Linked DNA regions of Drosophila melanogaster. The protein of the gene in region 3 interacts with the protein of the main gene of each other region in a biochemical or structural test. Each region holds a gene or a part of one and is shown on either strand. Other genes may lie near its edges.

Region 1 (4,345 bases), 8.4 Mb from region 3:
TCAATGTTCTTGCGCGGCACATCGCCGGACTCGTAGAACTTGAGGCGATCTTCGACCTGTTGCTTAAGAGTTTCGCCAAACACGCTAGTCGGCTGTTCCAGGAAGCAATCGATACGCGACGCGATGGAGCACTTGTTGGCCAGGAATCGAGAGATGCGACCCTTGTTCTTCAGGCCAGCTCGACCAATGAACGAGGAGTGATAGATAAGACCATACTTGGGCGTATTGGAGCGGGTCTTTAGAGCACGGAAGAGCGCCTTCTCGGCACCCAGGATTTGTACTGTAGATGCTGGGTACTTGGCCAGATTAGTCAAGCTGCCGGCATGCGATATCAGGCGGGCACCGACCTGGTCGCCAATCAAAGACTGCAGATTGGGTGCCACCAAGTTCATCTTGTTGTGCAAGTAGGTAGACAGTTTCTTTCGGTACTCGGAAAGCTTGACAACGCGCTCTGCGAACAGCTCAATGTTCATCAGATCAACAATGGAGATGTCCATGCCCATGGACATCTTGGCGGCATCAATGATAGCCTGAGCCTTGGCGGAGTCCATGACGATCTTCTCAAGATCCTCCAGCTGGTCTTGCGTGAGGTTCTTGCGATCCTTGATGAACTTGGCCGCCTTGGCGAACATGTAATTGTCGGGAACGATTTTGACCAGTTCTGGGAAGTGATACGAGTACCACTCGCGTATCCGCATAGAGAAGGTATTTACGTCCTTATCCAACTGATCCAGCAAAGCAATCGACTGGATGATCATGTTGTCGGAACGATGAACATTGAACTTGACCTTGGCACGCGAGTAGCTGTGGCCCAGACCCAGCTGAGCAACGCCAGCGGACTTGTCGGTGAATCCTGCATCGGATGGAGGAGGCTTTAGTTAGACAAAGAGGATTTTCCTTGCAAAGCAGGTAGCTTACCCTTGACCAGCTTAGCGAAGTGGAATCGCACGCCGCGCAGAATCTCAGGAACCACTCCAAAGTGACTGCACTGGACGCCAATGGCCTCGGTGATTGCAGCTCCCAGCTTGGCATCCGCAATACCCAGGGTGCACTTCTTCTTCTTCAGCTTGGCAAAGAAGTCATCCAAGAAGGAGAGCAGATCCTGCGGCACTATGCCCTCGGATATGGCATTGATGTTTTCCAGTGCGGCAATGGCCGTCTTGAAAGGTGCAAATCCAGCCAGCTTAACAATTGAGTTGAACTTGGCGAGGTCCGTCACCGAGGACTCCACCTGGGGCAGGAACATGGACACCTCTTCGAACTCCTTGACGGAGAAGAGCGAGAAGCCCGCCGCATGCTCGTACAGCACATACAGGTTCGACTGGAGGCGGGGAAATGAAAAATTATCAGTCTGATGCGGTGGCAGACACATGTGGTTTTGGGTGCTCCGCGTGTGTAGGTTAGTTTTCGCAGGGAAAACATTTTCATTTCACGGGCAACCCGCAGAAAATTCAAATATATGATTATTGCACTGAAATATTTACCATGTCTATGCCGAATATATGCCGATTTAATTAAGAAATATATATTTTTATACACCCACGATGCTGCTACAGTTGTTTTCCCACGTGCTTACTTCAAGTGTGACCATAGCAAGCCGATTGCGAAATGTTAGGGACATACCAGATAAAATACCGCAGTACCGTACTGAATTATTTTAACAGGCTGGCCACGTTGATAGCCTGATAACCTGTCGCGTTGTCCCTCTCGCACTTTCATCAACTGTCTCTGTGTGTGAAAGCAATTTTATTTTTATTTATAACAAATTTTTTGCGTTTATAAACACAACAGAATTAACTAGTTGGCTCGGCACACTTCCTGGAACCGCTCGCATCAGCTGTTGGGCTACGGCACTAGTTAACAGACCGACCAACTGGAGGCCAGATACAGATACCATCATTGTCATTTCCCAATTGACCAGAGAAAGAAACCTGCTGCGAATTCCAGTCACTTTTCTTTAATTATTATTCGGCGCTAATTGTGTAAAAATCGGCGGAATAAAGCTGCTGACACGACACAGAAGAGCCGAAAAAGCGGTGTGGCACTCGCCGGAAAAGTCTACGCATAGGAAAATTCCATTGGAGGCTCAGTGAAAGGCGAAGCACAGCAATTGCATGCCATGGACTTCTTGTTGTAAGTTCTCAGGGGGGCAAAACGTAGTGCAACTGCAATCCTTTCGAGCACAAAGAAAGCTTGGATCACCCCGCCCCACATCTGACTTTCCGGCTTTGTTTGCCCTTTTTGGGGTGATATCCCCAACCTCTTGTACAGTGGAACTTCCCTAATTTTGTCTGCGGTGTTTAAAAAATAGCTTTTCAAAGATATCTTGCATTCTTCCTCAGTGAATTTAAAAAAAGAAAAAAAAAGGAAATATTTCTTTTAGGGAGTGTAAATTGAACGAAGTCGCTTACGTTTCAATCTATAGAATCTTTACTGTATTATGTTTTACTGAGTGGGGCTGTTTGGGGCCGCGACTTATTGCCTTTCTCTTTCCACAGCGGTTCCCGTTCCAGCAAGACCTTCAAGCCCAAGAAGAACATCCCGGAAGGCACACACCAATATGATCTCATGAAGCATGCGGCAGCCACGCTGGGATCGGGAAACCTGCGCAATGCAGTGGCCCTTCCAGATGGCGAGGATCTCAACGAGTGGGTGGCCGTTAACAGTGAGTCTAGTATAGTGTAACTAGCGAAAGATAACCAATTCTTATTGCCACTCCTTCGCAGCCGTGGACTTTTTCAACCAGATCAACATGCTGTACGGCACCATCACCGAGTTCTGCACCGAGGAGACCTGTGGCATCATGTCGGCTGGTCCGAAATACGAGTACCACTGGGCCGACGGTTTGACCGTAAAGAAGCCCATCAAGTGCAGCGCGCCCAAGTATATTGACTATCTGATGACTTGGGTGCAGGATCAGCTGGACGACGAGACCCTGTTTCCCTCCAAGATCGGCGTGCCGTTTCCAAAGAACTTTCACTCCTCCGCCAAGACCATACTGAAGCGTCTGTTCCGCGTGTATGCGCACATCTACCACCAGCACTTCACAGAGGTGGTGACGCTTGGCGAGGAGGCCCATCTCAACACGTCCTTCAAGCACTTCATCTTCTTCGTGCAGGAGTTCAATCTGATTGAGCGGCGCGAACTGGCCCCGCTGCAGGAGCTCATCGACAAGCTGACGGCTAAGGATGAGCGGCAGATATAGGAATCACTGCATGGAGCCGCGAATTTTCGCGATTCCGGCGGCGGTGGTGGTGGTCTGCGCTTGCAGTTGGACTTGTGATGAAAGCGCTCTGGCAGACTCGTGTATTACGCTTTAGTTAGTTACCGCCAATACTTTTATGTTTCGTTCATTGCTTCATGGGGTGCCTCCCACTAAACAAAAGAAAACAAAAAACCGCCAATTGGCAATGTGAACCGAACTATAGCGGGCTAATTGCTGATCCAGAGCAACTACTATATTTTTATATGTGAAACGTAAAAACGTATAAATCATATTTATATGTATATGTAAAGGAGAAAACAAAAGCAGCAAAAGCAACAGCACGCCTTTTATAACTAACACCTCCCGCTTTCGAGAAACAACAAATATTACGTTCACAAACTATGCGTGTTTCCTTGTTTATCGTTTTTCTTTCTGTATGTATTCTATGTATTTATTACTATTAAACTATCGCTAATTGCTCGCGGTTCAGCGGATCAAGCGATTTTGTAATGCAAACCCCAGCAATTTGAGGCGACGGTCGGCAGCACCCAATAACTGATAATAATTGTAGACTTGATAAACATTTTTGATACGTTTTATACTAATAAAGAGAATATTATGAATAAACTCGTCTCTTTTTTGTTTGGTTTATCGTGTATTGACACTTTATTAAGCAAAAAAAAAAAGATAACATTGATGATTAACACAACGAAAATAACCTTTTTTAAAAAGGTTTAACGTAATGACTTATAATATATACAAATATGGTTAAGTGGGGAATTAGGGAGTATTTGTAGTACCCTTCCATAAAATATGACAACTGATATGCGCCTTTGTGCATTTGCGCATTGTAAATGTTTTCGACTAATCTATAACATTCGGCTAATCGCCTTGTTATCACTGCCGCCACACTAACCCCAATCACTTGAGCTTGCTTTTGTATTTGTCTTGTTCCACATAGAAATCGGCGTTCTCCTCGACCAACTGCTTCCACTTCACAGACAGCTCCATATAGCTTAATCCCTGACCACCGAGTTCCTTTGGCAACTGATCGCAGCTCACGGATGTTCCTTCACGACGCACGAAAAGTCGCGATCTTATCTTGGGCGTCATGAATATTCTAAAAAAAATGATAATATA
Region 2 (5,010 bases), on a different chromosome or scaffold from region 3:
CAAGTCCAACTCTTATCATCTATGAAAGCTGTTGAAAGAATTCAAACGATGACTAGCTTGACATCACGAAAATAAGTAATTCATGCTAAATTAGAAGAATATTTGCAAAAGTGACTCATGGGTAAGCATTGATAAAGAGCGAACGCGAACAGATTCGCAAGCGAATGACACCGATGAGCATGGATGTCTTTGGCTCCACGTAAAGCTGAATCTGCTGGGTCGGTCACAGATCGAACTCAATGAAGCTCATGAATCGCGTGCATTCTGGTCCAAATGCACGCCGCATTCTGGTTACTTGGTTACTTGGCTTGCACTTTACAATAGTCGGGGTATTCGGGTTTCGGCATGAGTCATCGCTGCTGACCACACCTTTCATCCACCTGAACTCTCTCTTCGGCGTTCGAAAGTCATCTGAATCAGATATCTTCTTTTCAATCAGTGCGTTCACTGATCGTCGGAAGCTTTAAAACCCAGAAACAAGGCGCCCAGTAATAATGATAAACACACAAATTCGTTTATGTAAAGAAATACTATAAAATTTGAAAAATATTTAATTTAGAATAATACAAAATATAAAACTTTTAGGTCTAATACAGATGTATACATTGAATTAATTAATTTTATACCATTCCAAATCGTCAGGTTTGTGGGAAGACGGCGGATTTACAATGGCCTGTGCGTCATTGAACAAGTTACTGCAAAGATTATCCTCAATCTGAAAGCGTAAAGTGGGCAAAGTGAGGTAGTGGCGTGGAACTCGGTTCGCCAACTCGGCGGTCGGCAACTGCGAATGCTTACCTGGAGGGAAGACACTAAGTTATCTGGGCAGTCGAGCACGCTAAGCCCAGATTCTGCAAAGATACACGGTAAGGGAAGGCGTTAAGTTAGTAAAGGCGAGGCATGGAGCGATAAGGAGTGTGGAGTGTTCGGCCTCTATCTCAAGATCAGTACTATACTATATAGTGAAAGCAGAGATGCCATGGGAATTACGTGATCGGCCCCCCGCCCACTGCGCACTCAATGTTATCTAGCGATATCGCTACGATATCTGTGTGTCTCGTTGTCTTACGCTAGTCGGGGTGGTGGAACGAGACTTACGCATTCTGGGATCATTCCATGAAGTCGTTCGATCAATGTGATTTATAAAGTAAAGATCTCCGGACTCGGTAACTGCCTGCTCCCAACCATCCGGCAGTGGACCCAAATTGTTAGCAATGGTCGATGTGGTAGTTTGTTTTGTAGTTTGCAAAACATCTATCGAACAAAAACAATGAATTACAAACCAAAGTAAATAAAAACAAATTAAAATATGTCTTCAACGTAATGCTGCAGTGTGTAAGCGGATGAGAACGGAGGGGCACTGGCGCCCAGCATGCAGCACATATCAAAATCAATTGGAGTATGCTCAAAGCAAATCCAATCGAGCTCCCACTTCCGAATGCCAAAATGATCAGACTCCAACCCAATCCCGAAAAGTGCATTGGCGCGCTCAAAATGGACGGAATGGACTCCCTGAAATCGGTTGTGTACTGTGCTGTTCATGCGTTAGTTGGAATGAGTTAGAGCCTATCTTATCCCTGCCTGGTCTCTAGCATTAATTAGTCCTCTGATGGCTGATTTAAGTGGGTTAACAATGAGACGCAGCCACAGGCAGTTAACGACTTGCTTATCTAAGGCATTACATCTAAGATAGAACCTACCATTCTGCTTTATTCGCTCGGCCATCAAGATTTGCTGCTGCTGGCGATATTGGATTCTGGGATCCTCCCACTGCGTAGATTTTGTAGTATGACTGCAAGTAGAGAGAACACCATTGTTGAGATTGCTGTTTTGGGTATTAGTTGAGCTAGTAATGATTAAGAGATAAACTTGAAAGACATCCAACGAAGCCAATGAGATTTCTGTGACTCACAAGAATATTTTAGTTTTCATAAGTTCATAAAGAAGACACGTATTAAATAAAGCTTCATGCATATCATTTTTAAAATCTGCCCAAACTCACTTCAAGTAGTAGATCTGGCCATCATTGGTCTTGGCTTGCTCCCATCCCGGCGGCAAGGCGCCTAGTTGGCGGTTCAACTGAATGGGGCTGATGACGTCGTAGGAGCGCTGCTTCTTGTGCACTGTCTGCATGGACATGGGAATGTCCTGCGACATGCAGGTGTTCATGGCGTCCAGATCAATGGCCGAGCTGGCCGGGGCGCCGCTGGGGAACTCTTGGGCACTGTTCTCTGGGAAAGTGGGCCCAGCGGGCTGCTGTTGGCTGCTCGGATTGGCATTCGGATTGTTGGCTGCTGCTGCGTCGCTCCGGGCGCGCACATTGTAGTTCTGCTGCAGCGAGGCGGGGCTGCTGCGGGCTCGGGAGTGATGTATCGCCAGGCGGCTGTGCTGGGGAGACGGCTGAATCTGGAGCTGGGGGATGGCGGCGATGGGCGACTGGCCATCTGGCTGCTGGACGATGGACGCCTTGTTCCCGATGTTGATGCTCGACTGGGAGCCCGCGTCGTAGGTGGAGTCGGCGCTGTTGGCCCGCGAGTGCGAGGGCGCCGGGGGCGTGAAGAAGGAGTTGGGCAGCTTCCGCATGCGCAGGGGCAGCTGCAGCGGGCGCTTGGCGTCACCCGGATTCAGGACGCTGTCGAATAGCGCCTGCAGGTTGTCGTCCGTGTCCTGGTTGACCCGCACCACCAGGTTGTTGGACTTGATCGGCGAAAGCATGTCCTCGTCGTCGATCTCCTTCTCGATCAGGCTGTTTGTATTGCTGCTGGCTGACATCGTCGTTAACATATAAAAGGCACTTATTGTATACAAACGAAAACTACATAGAATTATCTTAGCGATTAGGCACGCGCACATATATGTTCTTCCATATACGTATCACTCCATCGCGCTGCGCGAAACTATAACATTAAGGTGTTAAAAACTAAACTTCGTTGCAATAAATAATAGTAATAATAATAATTACGGAACTGCCAACATAAAATAAATTTATCCCAGTGTTGCCAGATGGCTATCCCCGTCCACTTGTCCATTCCGATACTAGCGTTCCTCATGTAATCGGCTTCGTGGCTGCACCTGCGGAATGCCAGGGGTATTCCGCAAGCCGATTACGACTTTTGTCGATTTCCTTTAGCTATAGCTAAAGATTTATTCTATATTTTGTAATTAATAAGGCACAAAACAAAGTAGATATTAAATTATGGTGTGTGTATAGCCCACACACTTGTGTTCCATAATATCAGACTATAAATTATTAGACTAACAATTATTATTTATTGGTTTATAACATTTTGTTTAGTGAAAATAAGTACAGGCAAAGGTCTGTCAAAAACACACCCAATAACAATATAAACTGATTGTAAATGTGCCTTGTTGATTTAAGTAATAAGTGCAGGTAAAGGTCTGTCAAAAACACATACCCAATAACAATATAATCTGAATGTAAATGTGCCTTTTTGTTTTCAGTGCACGTTCATTCAACCCTTTTCAAAACGATTGGCAGTGGAACAAGAAGCCGTTCCGTCTCCTGCCCGACCGGAATCGTCCCCTTTCCGTTTGTTCCCCGTAGAGATGAGCGCGGGCCAGGTCTGTGAGCACGAGACAGGTTTTTGACACAGTCAAGGTCCATCGCTAGTTCGGTCTACAGCAAAAAGTATTTTAACATTGTATATATTGGCACGACACAATTCGGAGGCATTTTTCGCTTAACAATAACTAATGTCGCATGACACAAATGTAAAATGATCGCCGTGCTGTTGGACATATTCTGGATCCCCATCGGGGGCTTCCTCTCATTTCTCATATTTATTTCCGCCATAAACAAATCAATCGGCGTCCGAAAAGCGTACGTGAACCTCCTCCTAAGGATATTCGAGGTAAATATTGCTTGCTTTCGTTCCTCAGATGAGTAAGCACCGATTTGAGGTGCTCCACTGCTGCGGTGGCTTTGCAAATGGTGCTGTCTTACCAATAGTTAAGCTATTCCAAAGTCCATAAATATAGTCAGCTTTTGGAGTACGCCATACTACGTCTGCCCTACGCAATTACTGCAATGCAGGCGAGTTCGAGAAACTATTGCTTGCCCGGAAGCTTTAAGTAGATTCTTCGGCTATCCTCAAGGAATCTGCGGGGCAGGAGTGCGCCAGTGCACCCAAGTTGCCGCTTCCCAGACACTTGTAAAGTGCCAGTCATTACCTCGTCCGACGATATGCTTGCGATAATCTTATCTGCAGATAATCCCCGATTCGACTCGTTAACAACTAATCACCTCTACTTTCAGTATGGTCGAGTTAGTATAGAGACAGCATCCAAAGAAAACCAACACATTCAAAATCCCAAGACTGACGACAAACAGGGAGTGCAACTAGTGGACGACGCCGATTCCAAAGAAGGCACCAATGGAGCCACATTGATTACCAGGGACGCGGTACTCCTGCCCCAGCCACAGGAGCCCGCTCCAGAGAAGCCAGTTTCCTCCACAAAGGTAAGGAGTCCGGCATTGCAATGGGCACCTGATTTAAACAACATTTCCCATTTGCAGGATGAAATCAATTTCGATTTTGAGAAATGCCTGGACTACGTAAAGTCTGGCGTGGAGGCCATCATCGAGGACGATGTTACGTCGCGCTTCGAGGCGGAGGAGCTCAAGAGCTGGAACATGCTGACACGCACCAATAGGCACTACGAGTTCATTTCCTGGAAAATCACCTCCATCTGGGTGTTCGGCTTCTTCATCCGCTACGTCATCCTGATGCCCCTCCGGGTATTGGTATGCTTCGTTGGTGTGAGTACATTCGGTTCATTTAGTGGCTTTTCCACAACTACCCGATCGTCCCGATTCCCATGCATGCTACAAATTATCCCAAAGGATACGCTTAAGTAATGTATTCCGCTTTAGACTGGAGAACAGCATCATGCATAGGGATTGGGCTGTCGAGTAGTTATCTTACAGTGTGAAAGGAAAGTGACTCAACGGACAATAACTGGTTAAACTTTACCCATTAGTAGATAAAA
Region 3 (4,680 bases):
TCATGCCATATATGCATTTATATTTCATGACAAATTAAATTAAAGCCCATTGAACAATTTATTTTAACGCAGTTCAGTTGATTCATTATGATAGAATTATACTTCGCTCAAAACTAATTAAATGAAAACCGTTTGCTTCAAATAATGACATTTAAATTCACTTAAATAAATTTCTTTAATATATCTTTAACAACATGCCATTTCCTAGCTCTCCATTTAAACTTCTTTCAAATAGCAAATATAAAATTGAATCACAACTTCTGTCTTGAATAATTTTATTTTAATTCAGTTGTTGTTTGCATGAGTTGCTCTTGAAACAATCTGTTTTCATAAATAAGTGTAAATATGTTAGTTGTAGGCCACAAGAAGACCCTTGGCCACCTCCTGGACTTTCTCCTTGCCCGCCAGCTCCTCGGCGATTTTGAGGGCGAACTCGTAGGCGGTGCCAGGACCTCGACTGGTGATCAGATTGCCATCCTTGACCACCGTCTTGTCGTCCACATAGCTTAAAGAAATAATCAAAAGAAATGGGATGAAGATCATGGGAAAATAAACTTAAGAGGTGGTATACCTATAGTTATTCACCAGCTGGGGCTTCATTGAGGGATACGAGGTGAGGGATTTCCCGGAGGCGACGCCGTGCTTGGCCAAAACGGTGGGCGCGGCACAGATGGCGGCGATGAGTCCGCCACCAGACTCCTGGCTGCGCAGCAAGTCACCGACCAGCGAGGACTCCCCCATGGCATTGGAGCCACCCAGTCCGCCGGGCAGCACCACCACATCGAACTTATCCGAGGCAACCTGGGCCAGCGAGGTGTCCGGCAGGATCTGCACATCCCGCGAGCACTTCACCGCTTCCCCGCCATTCAAACCGGCTACGGTGACCTTGATCTATCATATAGTAAGTATAAGTATAGAACAGAGTGATTTAATGGAAAGGTTGAGAGCACTTACGCCCGCCCTTCTCAGAACGTCGGCGGCTATGATGAACTCCATCTCCTCCGCTCCGGGAGCCAAAATCACCAGCGCGCTTTTCGACATCTTGGTAAACTTAGAAAAGTGCCTTGAAATTTGAGGAAATCCAAAGAAAACCATGCAGATACGATAGCTTATCGATAGCGCTGTTCTGGAACGCAGCTTTGAGTTTTCCTTATCGAGGTTTCAAAAACTGAGCGGCAAACTAAAACACTTGTATAATTTGGTTTGACTTGCAGTTAGGCGACTAATTTGATGCATTTAAAACTTCTGTTTTTCACAGGAAGTTAATATTTTCATTCTTACTCAAAACAATGTTCTGCATTATATTTTAAAATATTAAGACTTTGAAATCAGTTGATTTTATTTATATGAGAAAAGGATTGCGTCTATGCTACGTGCTACACAGAAATGGTTTGAAACCTCATTAACAATTCTAACAAGTCTTGTTCTTTAAGTTAAAACCGATAACATTTACTTGCTCTCTATATTCTGTCGTATTACATAAATTTATATAAACTGATCACTGAAATATTTTTATATTTGTTTTCAGTATAATATCGATGTTTATATACCACGGTCAAATCCTATCGATACCTGATGTGGTTGCCAGACCAAGTACAGCTGCTCCTCCCTAGATCTCTGTCTATCGATATCGGTCTATCGATATGTGAACATATCTAGCACGACGGCAGCAACAAAACCACGAATTAATTTTACTAAATTTAAGCCAAACGCGCATCGGAAATGCCTGAAAAATGCGATTGAATGCACGCGAAAAGTGATGGGTTGCGAACGCGAGTGAATCAAGTGAAAATACGTCGGCAAATATCAGCGAATTGTCGTCAAAAGGCAAGGAAAAACGGAGAAAAAGAGGAAAAGCAATAAGTGCCGTGTGTGGGAAACGCGAAAAAGGCGAGAACAAAGAGGCGAAAAGCGAGGAAATTGCGTGGAAAACGTGGAAAACGCGAAGAAGGTAATTGCGGAAAATGCCTGGTGAAAATGCAACGTTTGCAGCTGGAATTTGCGTATCTTCCAGTCCAAAAAGAAAATGCAATATCTGTTGAATGTGTGCGAGTGTGTGTGTGTGTAAGCCAGTGCGTGTGTGGCTGCGCTGGTGTGCGCCCCATGTGTGTGTTGGTGTGCATTTCCAATTGCCTGTGTGGAAAAGCAAGGAAAACTGCACGGAAAACGCACGAAAAGCAATCAAAAATGTGCGGAAAAGTGCCTGAAAACGAAATGCGAAGCACACACACAAATGCAACAGGCTGTATTTACATATTTCGCTCTCGCTCTCTCGTGGAATAAATCAGTACGGCTGCGTGCGAGTGTGTGTGTGTGGGGGAGAACGGAGGAGACAAAGAGAGCGAGCGAGAGGTTGCTACACAAATCGGATTAAATTCTTCTGTCTTCCCTCTCTTTCTGGCGGAGGGTACTGGTGTCCATGGAAAACTATCAATCTCGTAGAATTTTTAACTTTATTCCAGTGTAATTTCGAATGCCAACGACATTAGGCAAGGTCAATGTATGCACGCACTTTTCTCGGTTTTCCCGTTTCCTCTTACCATTTTCCAACTGAAACAGCGCTTAATTGGCTGCGATATTCGTGTGTCGAAAGAATTACAAATTCGAGAAATCAACAAGACATTAAACAACGAAAACTGAGAGTAGTACAATTAGAGTAACAGCAATAACAATAATAATAGTGGTAATTGCGGGAATACAAGGAAAACATGGCGAAAACGGAGCAAGATTTGAATACAGTGAAGATCTACTAAAAGAAACTGCGAGGACTATTGTAGAATTGTGATATTTACTATAAAGGAAACTTTTGAATCATTGCAATTTGAAACTATGAAAATATTCCAGTTAGAAACAAATTTAATTTTCATATTTGATGGACTTAAGCAAAAAGAATGAGTCATACACAAATATCTAATAATCACAAAATGCTACTTTGATATGTAACAATAACCCCCACATATGGATATGAAATGGAAGAGCATATTCTTCATTAACCCACATAGGCAGAAGCCACTGTAGTCATAGCAGAGATCAACTTTGTGACAGTATGCGCGGTGTTGATGCAACCGTGGGCAGCAGCTGCCTCCGATTTGCATGTGACTAGAGTACACAATCAACGGAATGGGGAAAATCCGCGGGAGCAGAACAGTAAATGCACAGACGCAAGATGCAAATGCGAAATGTGGCACAAGTAACTGCGGCCCATTGTAATTTGTAATTAGAGGCAGCGCCGCCACTTCAATGTCAGTGCGACAATAATTTCTCAGGCGGCCCGTTTGTGCTCGCGAAAAAGCAAAAGCACGAAACACGAAGCACAAAGCAAGAAACGAAGGGGCGGGACATCGAGACCTCATCCTTTGTGGAGGCAGCCAGCCGAAAATTCATAAACTTAATTGCAATGAGATGCAGAATGTGTGTGACACAGCTATCTGTAGTTTGAATACTCTTTAGTAGCTAAAACTAGCAGCAACTTTATTGAATGGTTTTATACTTGCCATCAAAAGCAGACTTCAGTTCTACATACACTATTTTGTATAGAATGGAAGTAAACCATCGATTCTCTATCGGATTTCCAAATATTATGGTACACAGCTATGATATAAACAAGCCCACAAAACTTGCAACTGAAATCGAAGCTAAAGTCCAAAAAAACGACTCCGAAATGTGCAAAACTTTGTTGTTGCAGTCACTAGTGGGACGGACTACTACTATTACTACTACTACTACTGCTACTATTGTTGTTTTTGTGCTTGTTGGCGATGTTGCGATTGTTGTTTTTGCTTAAAACCAGCAAACAGCGGCGTCATCGTCAGCGACGCTGGAAAATCGCTGGGATTCCATTCACATTCCAGCATGCAATTCGCAGTGGATTATGTGAGTGTGTTGTTGTTTGTTGCTGCCTTTGTTGTAGCTGTTGTTGTAGTTGTGATAGTTGTTGTTGCTGCTGGAACAGGTGAGGCTCCATTGGCGTCGATCGTGTGCATTCCACAGAGCACACAGAGACACACACACACACGCGCGCGCATATAGCCAACGAGCAGAGAGCAGGGCAATAAATACCAATACAGTGGGCTGTTTTTGCTGTTGTTGCTCGCTTTTAAAAGTAAATGAACGATAAAACAAGAAAAGGAAGAGGAAGTTTGGCGCGGGGATTGTGACGACCATAGGGATACCCCGCAGAAAGTGTAGAACGCAATGGAGCATAGTGCTATATGGATTCCAGTGTAATCTTTAAACGATTAAACTCTTTTCAATGAAATGATTTTTGATACAAATAAAGTTAACGGATACTGAGCATCCTAGTTCCTAAGTCACATTGAAGAATTTTAGGCTATTTTCCCAAAGACCGTATATCCTAAGCTTGTGAGGGTGTTCGCTGATCTTGGGCTAATCCCAATGAAAATCCCCAACCCCCTGGAATTTTCCGCACCCCTTCTGCGCCCCTGTTTCGTTGCAATGCAAGTCGAGCGATGTTGACGACGAAAATGCAATTTAGCTCGTTTTTCTTGCTTGCTTCGATCCCCGCCCCCTTTTTGCCGACCACCTCCAGAGAGTGTGTGTGTGTGTTTGTGTGAGAGAGTGTATGAAAAAAGGGAAAACGAAACGAAAACAGAGAGATGGAGAGCGAGCGGGAGAAAGAGAGCAAGAGCAAAGGCGACCCAGCAGCAGCCGCCGACCCGC

What was found. Proteins that work in one complex are often made in the same cells at the same time.
Region 1: of the proteins of wts (region 3) and mats, one has a biochemical effect on the other in vitro, tested with the Drosophila melanogaster proteins (2 studies listed by BioGRID).
Region 2: of the proteins of wts (region 3) and yki, one has a biochemical effect on the other in vitro, tested with the Drosophila melanogaster proteins (3 studies listed by BioGRID).

What each region holds. Positions count from the first base shown.
Region 1 is NT_033777.3:22,419,470-22,423,814, forward strand, and holds mats (mob as tumor suppressor), read left to right. Parts: upstream 1-1,691; 5' UTR 1,692-2,119; coding exon 2,120-2,133; intron 2,134-2,498; coding exon 2,499-2,665; intron 2,666-2,726; coding exon 2,727-3,205; 3' UTR 3,206-3,833; downstream 3,834-4,345. Other genes in the region: Nop56, read right to left, coding at 1-853, 919-1,321, 1,485-1,487; pinta (prolonged depolarization afterpotential (PDA) is not apparent), read right to left, coding at 4,127-4,325. UniProt on the Drosophila melanogaster protein: Coactivator of Warts (Wts) kinase in the Hippo/SWH (Sav/Wts/Hpo)signaling pathway, a signaling pathway that plays a pivotal role in organ size control and tumor suppression by restricting proliferation and promoting apoptosis.
Region 2 is NT_033778.4:24,065,463-24,070,472, forward strand, and holds yki (yorkie), read right to left. Parts: upstream 3,024-5,010; 5' UTR 2,854-3,023; coding exon 2,003-2,853; intron 1,793-2,002; coding exon 1,701-1,792; intron 1,255-1,700; coding exon 1,099-1,254; intron 852-1,098; coding exon 799-851; intron 716-798; coding exon 611-715; 3' UTR 513-610; downstream 1-512. Other genes in the region: Gpat4 (Glycerol-3-phosphate acyltransferase 4), read left to right, coding at 3,738-3,872, 4,277-4,480, 4,538-4,780. UniProt on the Drosophila melanogaster protein: Transcriptional coactivator which is the critical downstream regulatory target in the Hippo/SWH (Sav/Wts/Hpo) signaling pathway that plays a pivotal role in organ size control and tumor suppression by restricting proliferation and promoting apoptosis.
Region 3 is NT_033777.3:30,803,559-30,808,238, reverse strand, and holds the start of wts (warts), read left to right. Parts: upstream 1-1,619; 5' UTR 1,620-1,951; intron 1,952-4,680. Other genes in the region: dj-1beta, read right to left, coding at 349-505, 572-891, 955-1,041. UniProt on the Drosophila melanogaster protein: Negative regulator of Yorkie (Yki) in the Hippo/SWH (Sav/Wts/Hpo) signaling pathway that plays a pivotal role in organ size control and tumor suppression by restricting proliferation and promoting apoptosis.